4 linked regions of the Oryctolagus cuniculus genome follow. The protein of the gene in region 2 purifies or fractionates together with the protein of the main gene of each other region. This does not show direct contact. Links are inferred from orthologs where the notes say so. Each region holds a gene or a part of one and is shown on either strand. Other genes may lie near its edges. The genes, in order: RRP12, TSR1, RIOK2 and RPS3.

Evidence for each region.
Region 1: the proteins of TSR1 (region 2) and RRP12 purify together in Homo sapiens (affinity purification with mass spectrometry; 3 studies listed by BioGRID and IntAct, counting the BioPlex papers as one, with this or other methods). This does not show direct contact. The link is inferred for Oryctolagus cuniculus from reciprocal best matches to the Homo sapiens genes TSR1 and RRP12.
Region 3: the proteins of TSR1 (region 2) and RIOK2 fractionate together in Homo sapiens (co-fractionation; 3 studies listed by BioGRID and IntAct, with this or other methods). This does not show direct contact. The link is inferred for Oryctolagus cuniculus from reciprocal best matches to the Homo sapiens genes TSR1 and RIOK2.
Region 4: the proteins of TSR1 (region 2) and RPS3 purify together in Homo sapiens (co-immunoprecipitation; 4 studies listed by BioGRID and IntAct, with this or other methods). This does not show direct contact. The link is inferred for Oryctolagus cuniculus from reciprocal best matches to the Homo sapiens genes TSR1 and RPS3.

The regions. Positions count from the first base shown.
Region 1 is NC_091446.1:32,465,612-32,469,140, forward strand, and holds the end of RRP12 (RRP12-like protein), read left to right. Parts: intron 1-1,317; coding exon 1,318-1,385; intron 1,386-1,670; coding exon 1,671-1,753; intron 1,754-2,426; coding exon 2,427-2,529; 3' UTR 2,530-2,843; downstream 2,844-3,529.
Region 2 is NC_091448.1:47,829,854-47,834,230, forward strand, and holds part of TSR1 (pre-rRNA-processing protein TSR1 homolog), read right to left. Parts: intron 4,130-4,377; coding exon 3,705-4,129; intron 3,690-3,704; exon of another isoform or gene 3,577-3,689; coding exon of another isoform or gene 3,436-3,576; intron 2,640-3,435; coding exon 2,480-2,639; intron 1,628-2,479; coding exon 1,470-1,627; intron 1-1,469. UniProt on the Homo sapiens protein: Required during maturation of the 40S ribosomal subunit in the nucleolus.
Region 3 is NC_091445.1:19,816,606-19,820,861, reverse strand, and holds the end of RIOK2 (serine/threonine-protein kinase RIO2), read left to right. Parts: intron 1-959; coding exon 960-1,211; 3' UTR 1,212-3,289; downstream 3,290-4,256. UniProt on the Homo sapiens protein: Serine/threonine-protein kinase involved in the final steps of cytoplasmic maturation of the 40S ribosomal subunit. Involved in export of the 40S pre-ribosome particles (pre-40S) from the nucleus to the cytoplasm.
Region 4 is NC_091432.1:66,521,558-66,525,236, forward strand, and holds the end of RPS3 (small ribosomal subunit protein uS3), read left to right. Parts: intron 1-1,298; coding exon 1,299-1,486; intron 1,487-1,641; exon of another isoform or gene 1,642-1,787; intron 1,788-1,873; coding exon 1,874-2,067; 3' UTR 2,068-2,070; intron 2,071-2,506; 3' UTR 2,507-2,583; downstream 2,584-3,679. UniProt on the Homo sapiens protein: Component of the small ribosomal subunit. The ribosome is a large ribonucleoprotein complex responsible for the synthesis of proteins in the cell. Has endonuclease activity and plays a role in repair of damaged DNA.

The sequences.
Region 1 (3,529 bases), on a different chromosome or scaffold from region 2:
GGGAGTTGCAGGGAGGGCGGCAGAACCACGAGGTGCCCAGCCTGGTTGCATTCAGTTGGCGCAGACACAGATTGGCTGATCTGACGCTCAGGACTGAGCTGGGGGCCCGGGGAGTGTGGGGTGACAGCCTGAGGGGAGACTCGAGAAGGGGACCTCAGCCTTCCCAGGGAGCCCCTGAACCCCAGCCCCTCCCCATCTGCCCCAGCTTCCTGAGGCTTGCAGCCCACCCCGTCTCCTGGGAGCTGTTTGCCTGTCTTGTCCAGGTTAACAATCTTGTCCAGGCCTGAGTCAGCCGGGTTTGGAGAAACCCACGGCCAGTGTTGATGGGAGCTGGATTTGTGCTGGGCCTGACCAGAGGGTTTCAGTCTCTGTCTCAGGGCCCCTGGGCCGTTGCCCTCCCTATAGCAGCTGCTAGAAGGATCGAGGTACCTTTGTTGTCTTCCTCCCAGGGCCACCCTGCAGGGCTCCTGCCCCCGCCCCGTGTCGCAGAGCCCTTGCTGTGCATCTAGCAGGCTGGGCTCCTGGGGCCCAGAAGCTCCTGATTCCAGTAGCAGGTGTGGCCTCAGCTGCTGACAAACCTCACGGTTCCTCCTACAGCCCCCACAAGCCAGGACGCAGCCCACCTGCCTGCTCTGAGATGCTGCAGTGCGGGGACAGTCATGGCAGTCAGGAGGCCAGAGGCCTACTTCAGGATGGCCTCCCCGCTGCTGCTTAGTGTGTGACCTTAGCGGGTCACACTGCCTCTCTGTGCTTCTAGATTCTCATCTTTTAAAAGAGATCTTGGTCACCCCAGGGAGCCCTCCTGAGTCAGCACTGGCTCTCTGGGAGCCCGCCGGCGACTCTGGTGACGTCCCGGCTGGAAAGGACAGCTGAGCCTGCACGGCTGCCCTGAGCGCTAAGCCTCAGCCTTCAGATCTGTGCAGTGGGATGCGGCGCTGCGCTTGGCTGCCTCGCTGCTGGTGTGAAGCCTGACGAGAGAAGGGTGGGAAACCCAACGTGCCCTGCGTTAGGGCTGAGACTCCGCTGAGGCTCGAGCTGTACGTGGCTGAGCAGGGAGTTAGGTCCGGGTCTGTGTGACCTCAGAGCCTGTGTTCTTTGTCCTGGAACGGTGGGACAGGTGTGACTTTGCAGAAGTGGGCGATTGTGTGTGCATTGTGTGTGCTGCAGTCAGGTCACTGGCCAGCCCCTCCACAAGGAACGTATGTGGCCTTGCTTGGTTAGGGGTCAGAGCCAAGTTCCCATCTGCTCTGTGGCCACTGTGAGAAGGTGCCTGTGGCCATGGCTTTGCCTGACTCTCGATCTCTCTTCTCCCTGTAGCTGGAGGCTCTGGCATTCATCGCCCTATAGCCAAGAAAGTTGTGCCCGGGGCTGAATACAAGGCCAAGGTAAGAGCTGCAGCTGGGAGCGTAGAGTCTGTTGGTACTGAGTCGGGGCAGGGAGGAGCTGTGCCCATCTTCATCCTGGAGAGGCACCTTTGTGGGCTGGACTGAGGCCAGGGAAGAAGGGGCATGGCCGGGTATTGGTCCTCTGGGGCTACAGGAGCTCTTGGGCACCACCTGAGCAGACGGGAAAGGGAAGGGAGGGGAGAGGTTGGGGCGTGTCGGGTCCAGGCAGAGGCGGAAGGGGCAGCCTCCACCCTTGGCGGACTGACTGTGTCTCTGGATGAGCAGAAAGCAAAGGGTGACGTGAAGAAGAAAGGTCGGCTCGACCCCTACGCCTACATCCCCCTCAACAGAACCAAGCTCAACCGCAGGTACGGTGGCGCCCGGGCCGGCTCGGGTGGGGAGCTCAGGGCCTTCCCGTTAAGCTCACAACTTGCTCGCCTCTCTGGGAAGTTTTTAAGTTTTCTCTGAGCACAGCCCGCGTGTGGGCACCTCCTGTGCCACTGCCTGGGCTGACTGCTCTGAGACTGGTGCTGTCACGCACACGCTCACCCGTTCATCATTCATGCCGCTGTGTGCGGCTGCCTGCAGTGGCGTGCTAATCCCTCGTGGGTGGAAGGTCGGTCGGTTCCGACTTTGGCTGTTAAGTAGGGTTCGTAGGGGTGGGTTGAGGGCCGCGTGAGATGCTGGGTGAGGCGAGCTTTGGGAACAGGTGTCACGGGGAAGTGGTGCTCTCAGCTTCAGTCACTGAAGGCTTCTGCTGAATACCAGTTCCCCGTAGGGGCAAGGGTGGGTGGAGAGGAGCTGTGACTTCTCTGTACCAACGTCAGAGGAGGGGAGGAAGGGAGCTGTTTCCGGGGAGCATGGTGCCGAGTGGAGTGGCCAAATCAAGGCAGGAGCCACGCGTGGTCTGCCCAGGTCATGTGCTGCCAGGCATGGCCTGCGCCTGCTCCGCAGTGCTGCCGTGCTGGAGCGAGCTGTGTTTGGCTGGGCTAAAGGGCCGCTTGTCTCGAGAGACATGACCCTGTGTTCTTGCGCCCGCAGGAAAAAGGTGAAGCTGCAGGGACAGTTCAAAGGCCTGGTGAAAGCTGCGCAGCGGGGGACCCGGGCCGGACACAGACTCCGCAGAAAGGGTCACCGGCCCTGAAGCCCCGGGCCCCTGGGCAGCTCCGCACGCCTGCCTCAGCCCCGCATCAGCCCCCAGCTGCCTTGCTCCAGTGCCTGGACTCAACATGCGGTGCTGGGACTGGGGCCTGGGATTTGGAAGTTCCAGATGGGGCTGCCCTTTCAGGGCGTCCCCGTGAGGCGGCTGTGCGCTCTGCCAGGGCCGGCCCAGCACTGGGGCAGATGGGCCTCCTCCAGCTCAGCTGCTCGTGGCCATGGGGCACTCGACCCAGCCATGGTCTGGGGCTGAGGTTCACTATGACCAGCTATAGAATAAACACGCGTGACAGTGTCTCATCCCTGTGCTTCCTGACCTGCTGCTCCAGGGGTAGGGAGAGTGAGCGCCGACGGGGGACACCCAGGCAGGAGGGCGGCCCAACTTCACATGAGAGTTGCAGTTGGAAAAGTGGCCTCGGGAGGTGCAGCTCTGGGATTGGTCTCTGGAGACTGGGCGCCAGGGACTGGGGACAGAAAAAGGAGACAGCGGCTCAGAGCCAGTTAGAGCTGCAGCGCTGGCTGCCCCTGGACACAGAGTCTCTGCCCAGGGACCCCACACAGTGCCTCCTGAGCCTGTCCCGTGCCCAGCACAGCCCAGCTCGCCTCCCCTGTTTCTTAACGTTCTTTCTGCCAAACAAGGGCTCCCACCGCCCAGGAGCCCTGCTGCGTGTGCTTTCCTAACAGGCAACTAGAAGCCACCCCAGGGCTGCCCACCACACCCCAGTGTGAAGAACAGGTTCTGTTTTTCCCCATCTCAAGTTCTCCGCTGTGAGATGAGACCACACACATATTCCACAATAGTGTCCCTTCCAGTTGATGTCGTAGGCTCTGATAATGCTCCCGGAAGGCCCTCCTGGCGCCTGTTCTCATGCTCTAAGGGCACCTGAGTCTTAACGGGCGCCGAGCCTTTGTTGTCCCTGCTCTTGGGTTGGGAAGCAGAGAGGAACTGCACTTTGCCCAGAGGTGGCGCTGTTGACACGCGTTGT
Region 2 (4,377 bases):
AGCTGGACTGGAAGAGGAGCAGCCAGGACTAGAACCGGCGCCCATAAGGGATGCCAGCGCCACAGGCGGAGGATTGACCGAGTGAGCCACAGCGCTGGCCCGAGGCATTCTTAGACTCACCCCACACACCTCTCAAGGTTAGGACTGCCATTTGATTTGCATTTGGAGCTATACACAGAAATGGCTTAAGAACCCATTTTCTTCCTAAGATTTATTTATTGAGGCTGGTGTTGTGGCTTAGTGGATAAAGCCACCACCTGTAGCACCAGCATCCCATATGGGAACCAGTTCGAGTCCCCACTGCTACACTTCCAATCCAGCTCCCTGCTAATACACCTAATAAAGCAGCAAAAAAAAAAAAATGGTCCAAATGCCTGGGTCCCTGTACCCACCTGGGAGACCTGGAAGAAGCTCCTGGCTTCTGATTGGGCAGCCATCTAGGGAATGAACCAGTGGATAGAGGATATCTCTCTTTTAAGACAGAGTTACAGGGGTAGGCACTATGGTGTAGCAGGTAGAGCCACCACCTGCAGTTCGAGTCCCAGCTGCTCAGCTTCCAATCCAGCTCTCTATTATGGCCTGGGAAAGCAGCAAAAGATGGCCCAAGTGCTTGGGTCCCTGCACCCTTGTGGGAGACCTGGAAGAAGCTCCTGGCTCCTGGCTTCAGACTGGCCCAGCTCCAGCCATTGCAGCCATTTAGGGAGTGAACCAGCAAATGGAAGACTTCTCTCTCTCTACCTATCTGTAACTCTGCCTGTCAAATAAATAAATAAATCTTCGGAGGGCGGGTGGGATAGACAGAATTACACAGAGAAGAAGAGAGATCTAGGCCGGCGCCGCGGCTCACCAGGCTAATCCTCCGCCTAGCGGCGCCGGCACACCGGGTTCTAGTCCCGGTCGGGGCGCTGGATTCTGTCCCAGTTGCCCCTCTTCCAGGCCAGCCCTCTGCTGTGGCCAGGGAGTGCAGTGGAGGATGGCCCAGGTGCTTGGGCCCTGCACCCCATGGGAGACCAGGAAAAGCACCTGGCTCCTGGCTCCTGCCATCGGATCAGCGCGGTGCGCCGGCCGCAGCGGCCATTGGAGGGTGAACCAATGGCAAAGGAAGACCTTTCTCTCTGTCTGTCTCTCTCACTGTCCACTCTGCCTGTCAAAAAAAAAAAAAAGAAAAAAAAGAGATCTTCCATCCTTAGTTCATTCCCCAAACAACCACAATGGCCAGAGCTGGGCCGATCTGAAGCCAGAAGCTTCAGATCAGACATAGTGAGAGATTTTTCAGTTACTGGTTCACTTCCCAAATGGGTCAAAGTATTTGGGCCAGCAGTGCTGCTTCCCAGGTGCATTAGTAGGGAGCTAGATCAGAAGTAGAGTAACCAAGACTTGAACCCACACTCCAATATGGGATGTGGGTATACCATGTAGTGGCCTAACCCACTACAACCACAACACTGGCCCAGGCCCAATTTTCTTACCTGAGATTCCTCTTCCATAAAATCCTCATGTTCTGTATCATCATATTCATCTCCTTCCCCACCACTGTCACCATCTTCATCCAAAATCCACTCAGCTTGGTAACTGGATGTTCCTTTGGGGACCTTCTTTACCACTTTGGAAGTTTCCTTCAAGAAGTCTGTAAAAGCCCAAAGAATTAAGCAAATTATATACCACCTTTTCCCATCACTCTGGGATTTCTCACCTAGACAAGATGCTAGATAGTGGGTCCCAGCATTGTGACAGAGCAGGTTAAACCTCTGCTGCAATGCTGGCACCCCATGTGGACACCAGTTCAAGACTTTGCTGCTCTATTGGCCCTGCACCCAAGCTGGAGACCTGGAAGAAGCTCTGGGCTCCTCGTTTTGGCCTGGGCTGGGCCACACCACTGTAGCCATGTGAAGAGTGAACCAGTGGATGGAAGATCCTTTTCTCTGTCTCTCCTCCTCTCTAACTCTTTCAAATAAATAAGTAATAAATCTTAAAAAAAAAAAAAAAAAGATGCTAGATAGTGCTGCTAACAATCTCTAGCAGACACTATGAGTAGAAAATATGTCCATTAATTTGGGTACCTCATACCCAGCAACACTTACATAGCTAGATAGATAAGCCTTGTTATAAAGTTTATTCACTGTAAGGCAATAAGATGGAGTGGGTATTGTGGCACAGAGGGTTAAGCTGCCACTTCAGACACCTGTATCCCATATTGCCAGTCCTACAGATTGAACCAGCAGATGGAAGATATCTGTCACTTTGCCTTTCAAATAAAAAGTAAATTAACATTAAAAAAAAAAAAAAAAAAAAACTTGGAGGAATGGAACAAATCTGTGTCTAATGTTTGCTTAATGCAAACACACAACATTTAGGGATGAGAGGACATGACATACCCTCAAGTATACCTGTATTCCGCTCCACCCTATGGGATCTTCACAGTGAGCAGCTAGACAAAATCCACAATCCCTCATCAGGTAAGTAACCTGCCAATACCAACCATTTGCTTCCCTTAGCTCCTCCTCAGTAGGCCAAGTCTGCTCCCCTTCCATTGGATCTGGGATAACCTCTGTTTGCAAAGATTCCTGTTTCTCAGGGTCTGCCTTCATTAGGACTTTAATGTCTTCTTCCATATCAGTTACAGCATCCATAGCACAAATCTGAAAACCAATCAAATGGTCAAACATTAACCCAAAACCCACTAAACCAGAAGATGGATAAAACAGAAAGCCAAAATCTGTCAACGTTTTCCAGATGGCTGCTTTATGGCATTTTAAGTCGTATTACTGCCTGGCTCTTGAGGCCTTTCTTAATCTGGTCCTACTCCCACTTGTTTATACCTCACTTGTTTGTGAGGTATTATTAAGCTGATTTCTTTAGAATTCAAAAAGAAACCCTCTGACCCATCACCGTGCCTAGTTCTGATATTGTTTCTATTTTCTAGCATATTCTTTGATCTTTTCAACTCATAAATTACACACGTGGCTCAAGCTGGATCTCTTCAGTAAAGCTTGCCAATTTATTTTCCCAGTTCCTACGGCATTTCTCTAACTTAACCATAGACTCTCGCAGTCTGTACTTCAAAGGTGTTTGTCATGTTTTTCTGACCCAATTAAATTCTCTAAGGAAAGTAACCACACCTTGAGTCTTTTATAAACACAGAGCCAGCAGCAGGGTACCTAGAAAGTACTGGAAACATGTCTGACTTAACGTATCTAGAGCTGATTGTTGCTGCCATACTCCAACTAGTAATCTCCTCATTGGCTTGAGAGACTGCCTTCTCTAAATTCAAGTTTCCATTCCATGCCAACTTACATACAAATCTGCAAGAACAAATCTTTAAGAACATCAACCTTGGGCTGGCGCTGTGGTGCAGCAGGTTAACGCCCTGGCCTGAAGCGCTGGCATCCCATATGGGCGCCCAGTTCTAGCCCCTGTGTTCCACTTCTGATCCAGCTCTCTGCTATGGCCTGGGAAAGCAGTAGAAGATGGCCCAAGTCCTTGAGCCCCTGCACCTGCATGGGAGACCAGAAGAAGCTCCTGGCTCCTGGCTTCAGATCAGCGCAGCTCCAGCCATTGTGGCCAATTGGGGAGTGAACAAGCAGATGGAAGACCTCTCTCTCTCTCTCTCTCTCTCTCTCTCCCTCTTCCTCTCTCTGTGTTAACTCTGACTTTTGAATAAATAAATAAATCTTAAAAAAAAAAAAAAAGAACATCAATCTTACCTCCATCGCCATGCCTGGGTCCTTTTGGGGTTTAATCACTCTAGTATTTAAAGGAAAAGGGTCCGTGGGGGCGTCTATCTGTTTCATCTGGAAATCACCATGTCCAACAATATGTAGCAAGCTATTTACATTCAGAGCCTGCCCACGAACATAGCCTGAGAGTTTCAGGGTGCCCACCAAGTTATTCTCTTCACTAGCCACAAAATCAGCAGTGTGGGCAAACAGGTAGGCCCGCCGATCTCGAAATGCAAGATGCCGCTGCTTCTGGTTAGCCAACTGCCTCAGCAGCATCCCTGCCTCCTGCTGAGTGTCTAACAGGAGGAGTTTGTCATCAGGAAAGCGCTTCTCCACTGCTTTACTTAGCTTCTTTCTGGCATCTATTTGTTTCTTCGGTGGAAGGCCAGAAACCCCCTGGACAGCTAGTGCTGTAAGCAAAAGAGAAAGGCTTTTATGACCTATTGCTTCCCTACATGAAAAGCCCCTAGGTCGCACAATCTAACAGTTCAACTGCGAGCCCACGGATTACCAGGAAAACCAACACTTGGCTATCCTAAAGAAATGTCACACTGAAACAAAACTTTTCTTCTTCCTCTGGTCAGCAAATAGCCCAGAGATTTCAAAAAACTAAAACTTTGATGATTTGTAAATAATGGACAAGTTTAATCTGCACATG
Region 3 (4,256 bases), on a different chromosome or scaffold from region 2:
ATTTACAGTTGCCAGCTTTTATGCAGATCCAAGCAGGAGTAGAAAGATTGGGTAGAAGGAGGTAGAGGGGATGAAGAGAGAAATGTTCCCCTTTTTTTTTTTTTTCAATGTTTTATTCATTGTTCATTTATTTGAAAAGCAGAATGATGGAGTTTCCATTTGCTGACTAGATGCCTGAAACAGCCATGGCCCAGCCAGGCTGAAGCCAGAAAGCAAATCGGCCCAGCCCTAGCTATTACTAGCATCTGGGTAGTGAACCAAACAAATAGAATCTGTGTATTGTGTGTGTTTGTTTCTCAGTCTGTATGCCTTTCAAATGAATGCATAAATGAAAAACTTTTTAAATTATTTTCCCTTTAAAAACTAGATATTTCTTTAAAAAGGAGTTTATAATCAGTGAAGATATGAAGGTGGGTGCTCAAGTAAATGCATTCACCTTTAGTGAAAACTTGCCACTAGATGGCAGTGTCACTTCATAGTCACCAGTTGGAATACAGGAGATTTCCTGAGAGTGATACAAACAACAGGTTCACCTTTGGAAAATTAATTCTAATGGTTATTTGCAAGATCCTCTATTATCTAATAAACTCATATAAATTTATAAATGCAAGAAAATATCAAATCCAGTTCCCTTGAATATTGGATTCTCAAAATATGTGTATAACCCCACTTTGAATTTTAGATATGCCTTTAAATTCAGTGGTTTTTTTATCTGCTCTAAAGCATTTTTATAGCATAAATTATTGTTGAAGACAGCTTAATAGAACCACAACATGTTTATTTTGGAGTACATTTTCTTATCCAGAGTGCTGAAAGCAAATTGTGAATAAAACTATGACCTCATCCTGTTTAGCTTTTCTGAATTGACTTAGTCAACTTTGGGGAACCCACCATATAAAAAACTCACTATTATTTGAGAAATTTAGAAGGCAGATAAACATGGTTCTTACCCTTAACAGCTTCAGATTTCATGTGGACCACAGGACAAATACTTCAAATCAGAACTAGAGGTGCAGCCCTATTTGAACAGTGATACTGAAGACTTGGTAATAAATGATCTGGTAAGGCATTTAATTTCTTTTGGATTATATTTTGGTGGTATGAAAACTAGAATCCAGTCACAACAGTTATTTTTAAAAGATATTTTTTTGATAACCATCGATGAAAAAGGATCTGCCTTAGCAAATTGTCACATTTTAAAGCACCCATAGTGAACAATGACAAAAAACTCCACAAATGTGATAAAGCTATATATTGTGATAGAACACTTTCTGAGTCCAAATTTAGATCCTGATTCCGCCACTTCCCAGACTTTAAGTAACTTCCATAACCACTCTAGTCTCACTCTTGAGAACTGTAAAATGGGAACATTAAATAGTGCTTGTCACAGGGTGGTGAAGATTAAATGAACTAACACTTGTCCACTTGTTGAGAAGAACTCAGCACAGCGCCTACATGCTGTGTGCTCAGGAAGTATTGCTAGCGTGACCCACAGGAAGCTTCTGTAGGCTGACAGTCTTTCCTAATTTCAGGGTCAGTGCGATTCGACTGCAGTCCTTTGTTGTGTATTTTTCAAGATTTGCCTCACATAGTCTACTTACTATTTCCATTAAATAAGCTTTTCCTACAAAACATGGTTTATATTTGTTCCAACTTGGGAACCATTGATCTGTTCCTGAGCACAGATCTCCTGAGCCATAAAAATGTTTAAAGGATACCAATCAGAAGTTAATGTAAATTGAGAAAACTGTTCATTCAGCCAAGAACTTAGTAAATTTTCTGACAGATCCTGTAGGTGTCTGAAGAGCTCTGGCCAATGCTGCCCCTCAGATTTTCCAGCCACTTCCAAAGGATCAAGAGGTGAATTCATTAGGTCTCAGTGGCTAATGGGTTTATTTCACAGTCACAGATTGAGTACTCTGGTGGTTAAAGCTCACTGTCCTCAGTAGTCTTCCTGCATCCTCAGAGCTCCCTAGAGAGCAGCAGACCATATCAGTTTGCCCTGGTGTGTTTTAGGAAATTCGGGAGCCACTTGATGCAACCTTGTAAGGAGTCAAGAGATCACAGTTGAGAACAGCCATGGGTTATGCACTGATTCACAGCCAGGGGTGTGGGGAGCATGGGAAACTCAGTCACTCACAAAGACTCTGTTGTCACATTTTAAGACTTTTTCTTTTACCTTAATACTGTAAATAGCAATGGCATTAAAATTAACATCTTCTATGTTTAGCATCAGATTGTTGTAGGTTTTTATGTCATAGTATGCCTCATAATTCAAATGAGTATTCATTTTAGTTGGGACATTCATGACAATATTATGTGCTTCCATTTCTTTAAAAACTATTTGAAATAAGTGAATCTGTAATCCTGCTATTGGTAAGAGATTTGGCCCAGATTAGGAAGAGAAAGGTGTGTTCATACTTCAGTATTTCATGTATCAGCTAGTGTGTAAAGGGATATCAGGAGAGAATATGTATATTTTTAGGGTATATTTTTCTGACTGAATGCTTCAGCTATATTTGGGTAGGCAAGAATGGCACAGAGCAATGACATGGCAGCCCAGAGTAGATGTCCCGCTGATGACTGCTGAGAAATCCCAAGGACAGTCTGAGGGGCAGGCCAGCATGCTTTGGGAGTTGTTTTGTGGAAGAGGGATTTGGTTGAACAGGTAGAAGGCAAAAGAGCTTGCAGAGAGGAAATCATGCAGAAAATCCCCGAGACAAACGAATGCAGTGTGCTACCAGACCGTCGATGGGGGATGGGTGCTGTGCAGCAAAGGACTAAATTAAAGGATGGCTGAATTAAAGGATGGATTTTAATTTAAAAAAGAAAAATGTGATGTATTAGGGGAAAGCTACTGTAAGTTTTGAACACTACAATGATGTGATTGTCAGTGTTTGAATGGATTGGAGGGAATCCAGAATAGAATCTAAAAGATTGTCCAGTTAGCAGCCTAAGTATTAAGGTTGAGACCATTTATATAGAATTCTGTTACACTGGAGCTATAACAGATTCTGTTACCTTGCTTTTATTTTAAAGATGAGAAAACATCTTTAAATGTAAAATTGCTTGCTCAAAGTCATAGAGTAATAAGGTTGAGAGGTGAAAGGAGGAAAACCAATATGCTTGGGTGGTTTCAAGCTTGTGTTCAGCCTTAGGATCTCTTCTGGAAAGTTAATAAGCTCCACAAATTTGATGTGTCTTCCTGTTGCTTGGAAGTATCAGAAAAGACAGTCCTTACAACCAGGTTTGGGGTTTTGTATTGTTTTGGTTTTGTTTGTTTTTTTATTTGAAAGGCAGGGAAAGATAGAGGCAGAGGGACTAAGAGAGAGATCTTCCATCCACTAGTTTCCTCCCCAAATACCTGTAACAGCAGGAACTGTGCCAGGCTGAAGCCAAGAAACTAGAATTCCATCTGGGTCTTCCCACGTGGATGGCAGGGGCTCAATACCTGAGCCATCATATGCTGCCTCCCAAGGTATGCATTAGCAGAAAGACGAATTGGAAATGGAGTAGCCAAGACTAGAACCAAACACTCCAGTATGGAATGTGGGCATCCCAAACAGTGACTTAACCTGCCATGCAAAATGCCCATCCCACAACCAGGTTTTGAGTTTTATCCTCCAAAAAACTTTCTGCACGTTTTAGAGGACAAAGCTTGTTTCCATAATAAACAGTTTCACCTTTATATCACATGCCCTAGAAAACCCATCTCAGTAGACAGACACCCTCAGTGGAACATCCCTGGGGTTGGGGGAGGCGGGGCAGTGCTGGGGAGTACTTTACCCTTGAATTCAAGGCTATGGAAGCACCTCGAGATCAGCAGAATATATTATTCTAGAATTTTGTCTTTCCCATTTTCTTTTTTTTAATATTTATTTATTTGAAAGGAAGAGTTACAGAGAGGCAGAGGCAAAGAGAAAGAGGTCTTCCATCTGATGGTTCACTCACCAAATGGCTGCAAAGGCTAGAACTGGGCCAATCAGAGCCTGGAGCTTTTTCCGGGTCTCCCACGCAGTGCAGGAGCCCAAACACTTGGGCCATCTTCTACTGCTTTCCCAGGCTGTAGCAGAGAGCTGGATCAGAAGAGGAGCAGCCAGGACTTGATCCAGTGCCCATATGGGGTACTGACACTGTAGGCAGCCACCTCACCCACTACACCACAGTGCCTACCCTGCCCCATTTTCAATTTGTGGAAAAATAAGTCCATTTCTATGCTGTTTATTATTCCTCTTCCTTTAAAAAATTTTGGAAAG
Region 4 (3,679 bases), on a different chromosome or scaffold from region 2:
CACTCTTATTGGCACCATAAACGCGAAAGCAGTCCTGATGAGAGAGCTTAAAATCCAGATACTTAATGTGGTGGGCTATGCGTAGATAGTAAGGTGACAGGTGGCACGGGGTATGAGAGGCGTGAAGTTAGGTTGCCGCCAAAGCTGGGCTTGCTGGTGAGGTTTCCGTGTAGATAAGTTTGTGAAGTGGTTGGAAGGCCTTGCCTGGCTGTTTGGAATTTAGTCAGTACTTAGCACAGAGCCCTGGGGTCAGGGTGGGGGCTGTTTGGCAGGGGAATGGAAGTTCTTAAACTAAGCAAGGTACTGAACTTCTCTGAACATTTGAAAGACATAATAACGGGGAGAGACAGATCTTCCCTCCCTTGGTTCACTTCCCAGATGGCTTCAACAGCTGGTGCTAGGCGAGAAGCCTGGAGCTCAGTCTGGGTCTCCCACGTTGGGTGATGGGCCCAAGCACTTGGGCCATCTTCTGCTCCTTTCCCAGGCACATTATTAGCAGGGAGCTGGAAAGAAGGGGAGCAGATAATATTTCACAGGCCATACATAATTACCAGCTTAAAAATCAGCCTGCTCTAGATTGACTGCAGCTGCCTTAGCAGGGCCAGATCCCATCATTGTGGGCGTCTTGGGCACCCTGGGTTACATATTAGAATAATCTGTCTGGGGCTCACCACTTGAGATTGCTGCTGTAATTGGCCTGGAGGAGGGCTATCAAGAGGTTTTTAGTTTGTTAAAAGATATATTAGGCAGAGTTACAGAGAGAGAGAGGTCTTCTATCCTCTGGTTCACTCCCCTCAGGGCTGGGCCAGACCAAAATCAGGAGCTAGGATTTTCCTCCCAGTCTGCCACGTGGGTACAGGGGCCCAAGCACTTGGGCTGTCATCCGCTACTTTCCCAGGTGCATTAGCAGGGAGCTGGATCATTAGTGGAGCAGCCGAGACTGGTGCCCACATGTGATGTGGGTGTTAAAGGCTTTACCCGCTGTGCCACAGCACTGGCCCCTGTGGGTTAAGTTTTCTGAGTTAACTGATTTGTAGTCATGGTTGGAAAGCACTCGGAATAGGAGCTTGCCTTTAATTTCCCAAGGATAAAATGTGATAGAAAGAGGCGAGAAGTGCTGTTTGAAGAGCAGATGGGACTAGAACTGGCACCCATACGGGATGCTGGTGCTTCAGGCCAGCGCTTTAACCCACTGCGCCACAACGCTGCCCTAAATCTTTGGTTTTTAACTTGGTGCAGTGGGTTGATAGGTTCCGGCTTCAGTAGTAACCCAAATATGTCTCCCTGTTCTTCCAAAGGGCCTGCTATGGTGTGCTGCGGTTCATCATGGAGAGCGGAGCTAAGGGCTGCGAGGTTGTGGTGTCTGGGAAGCTGCGAGGACAGAGGGCTAAGTCCATGAAGTTTGTGGACGGCCTGATGATCCACAGTGGGGACCCTGTTAACTACTATGTTGACACCGCTGTGCGCCATGTGCTGCTCAGACAGGGTGAGCCACTGGGAATGCGTGTAGGTGGGCGTTGGTGGGTAGGTGTCATTCCATGGGTGCCCCAGGGTTTGAGGAAATTCATTTTGGAAGTAGCTGGGATTTATTGATTTCCTGCATAGGCATTGACAGCTGATCAGGCAGGTCAGTTGTGTACCCTTCGGTGATGACACGATGACGAGTCAGAAAGGTCACGTCCTGCCCTCGGGCTGTGCCAGTACCACGTTCTGTGGTGCTGTGCGTGGGTTCCTTGGGCAGAAGTGTCCTGTTCATTGATTGATTTAGAGGCATTTGTCTGAGAAGGGACCAGATCAGAGGTTCTTGGGTAACTCTTGCTGTTGTGGTAGGGGCTGGTGAACCCTACTAGGTTCTAACTCTGGGGTTTCCTAGGTGTGCTGGGCATCAAGGTGAAGATCATGCTGCCCTGGGACCCAAGTGGTAAGATTGGCCCCAAGAAGCCCCTGCCCGACCACGTGAGCATTGTGGAACCCAAAGATGAGATCCTGCCCACCACCCCCATCTCGGAGCAGAAGGGTGGGAAGCCAGAGCCGCCTGCCATGCCCCAGCCAGTCCCCACAGCGTAACAGGTATGTCTGCAGGGACCACCCAGGGCAGGAGGGGGTCCTGTTTCCTTTTTCTTCTCCCTTACTGGATGAATAATGGTTGGATTATATTTGCTTCATCTGGGAGAATATCGGTTGGAAAGCTGGGCCCATTTAGCTCGTGATTCTGTTGGGTTGTGTGTTTGCCTCTCAGAAATTTCTGTTTTGACTACTGGGTTGCTCAAGGTTTTGAAGGCATTCTTGGTATTAATTAGGTTTTCTGTCCTTTTGTAGTCCCTCTGAGTGGTAGCTCTGAGCCTCCCACGCCCAGCACATTTGGGGCTTTTGTTTGTTTTCAGTTGGTCTTTATTTTGTGACTAACTTTCGCGCAGTCCCTGGAGGGGGTGTGTGCCGACTTGGTAAATGAAAGAACCTAATACTCAGATGTAAGTTTCTCTTACTGTTCTTTATTTGGTTACAGGGTCTCCCTGGCAGCTGTATGGAGTCTGGATGTTACTTTATAAAGATCTTTAATAAAATCTTGTACAAAGACGCAAAGCCTGACTGACTGTCCATCTTCTGCCTGAGGGGTGAGGGTCTCGTTGGCCTGTGGGGGCATGCCTTACTCTGTTAGCTTTACCATTGTTTTTGCAAGAGCCAGAATGGAAGGACCCGAGCCGAGCTCGGCAGAGATAATCCTGTGGGGTGGAAAATCCCACGACAGTGAAGGCTGCTTAGCCAGCAGCATTGTGGATGTCATGTGGGTCAGGAGGATGGGTTTAGAAGAGGACTGCTTCAAGTAACTACAGTGGTATGTGTGTGTCATGTGCTCCGAGGGTCCTTTACAGATTCATGTAGTCCAGTATCTAACCATAAGGGGATTTGCTTTTGGCACTGAGCTTCAAGCTCTGCAGTAAATCTGGCCATGTGGTATAAAGCCGTTTTCAGGATCCACATTCCTAAGTCCTGCTGTTTGCCATTGTTCTGTGGAGAACAGTTTACCTGTCATGGCATTTTGAAGTTTTTTTTTTTTCTTTCATACCAGTGTCTATTTTACAAAAGATTGAGTGGTTTATTCAGGCAGAACTTCAAAGGGAACAGGTTGGTTTGAAACTCCTGTAACACTAATGATTAGCCAGATTCTGACCCCTCGCGGGGAGGGGGCTTCCCACCATTAGGATGTTGGGCGCGCTGGGTTACCTGTGCTTACACCCTGTTAACTACTGTAAGCATAAAATTCACCATCCTAGTGAGCCGCTGCCTGCAATGCTGGCATCCCATGTGGGCACCAGTTCATGTCCTGGCTGCTCCACTTCTGGTCCAGCTTTCTGCTATGGCCTGGGAAAGCAGTAGAAGATGGCCCAAGTGCTTGGGACCTTGTACCTGCATGGGAGACCAGAAGGAGGCTCCTGGCTCATGGTGGGCATGGCTCCAGCCATTGCAGCCATCTGGGGAATGGACCCTCTGTCTCTCTCACTCTGCCTTTCAGTTAAATAATAATTCACCATCTTTGGGCCGGTGCTGTGGCGCAGTGGGTTAATTCCCTAGCTTGAAGCACCGGCATCCCATATGGGTGCCGGTTCGAACACGGCTGCTCCACTTGCAATCTGGCTCTCTGCTGTGGCCTGGGGAAACAGTAGAGGATGGCCCAGAT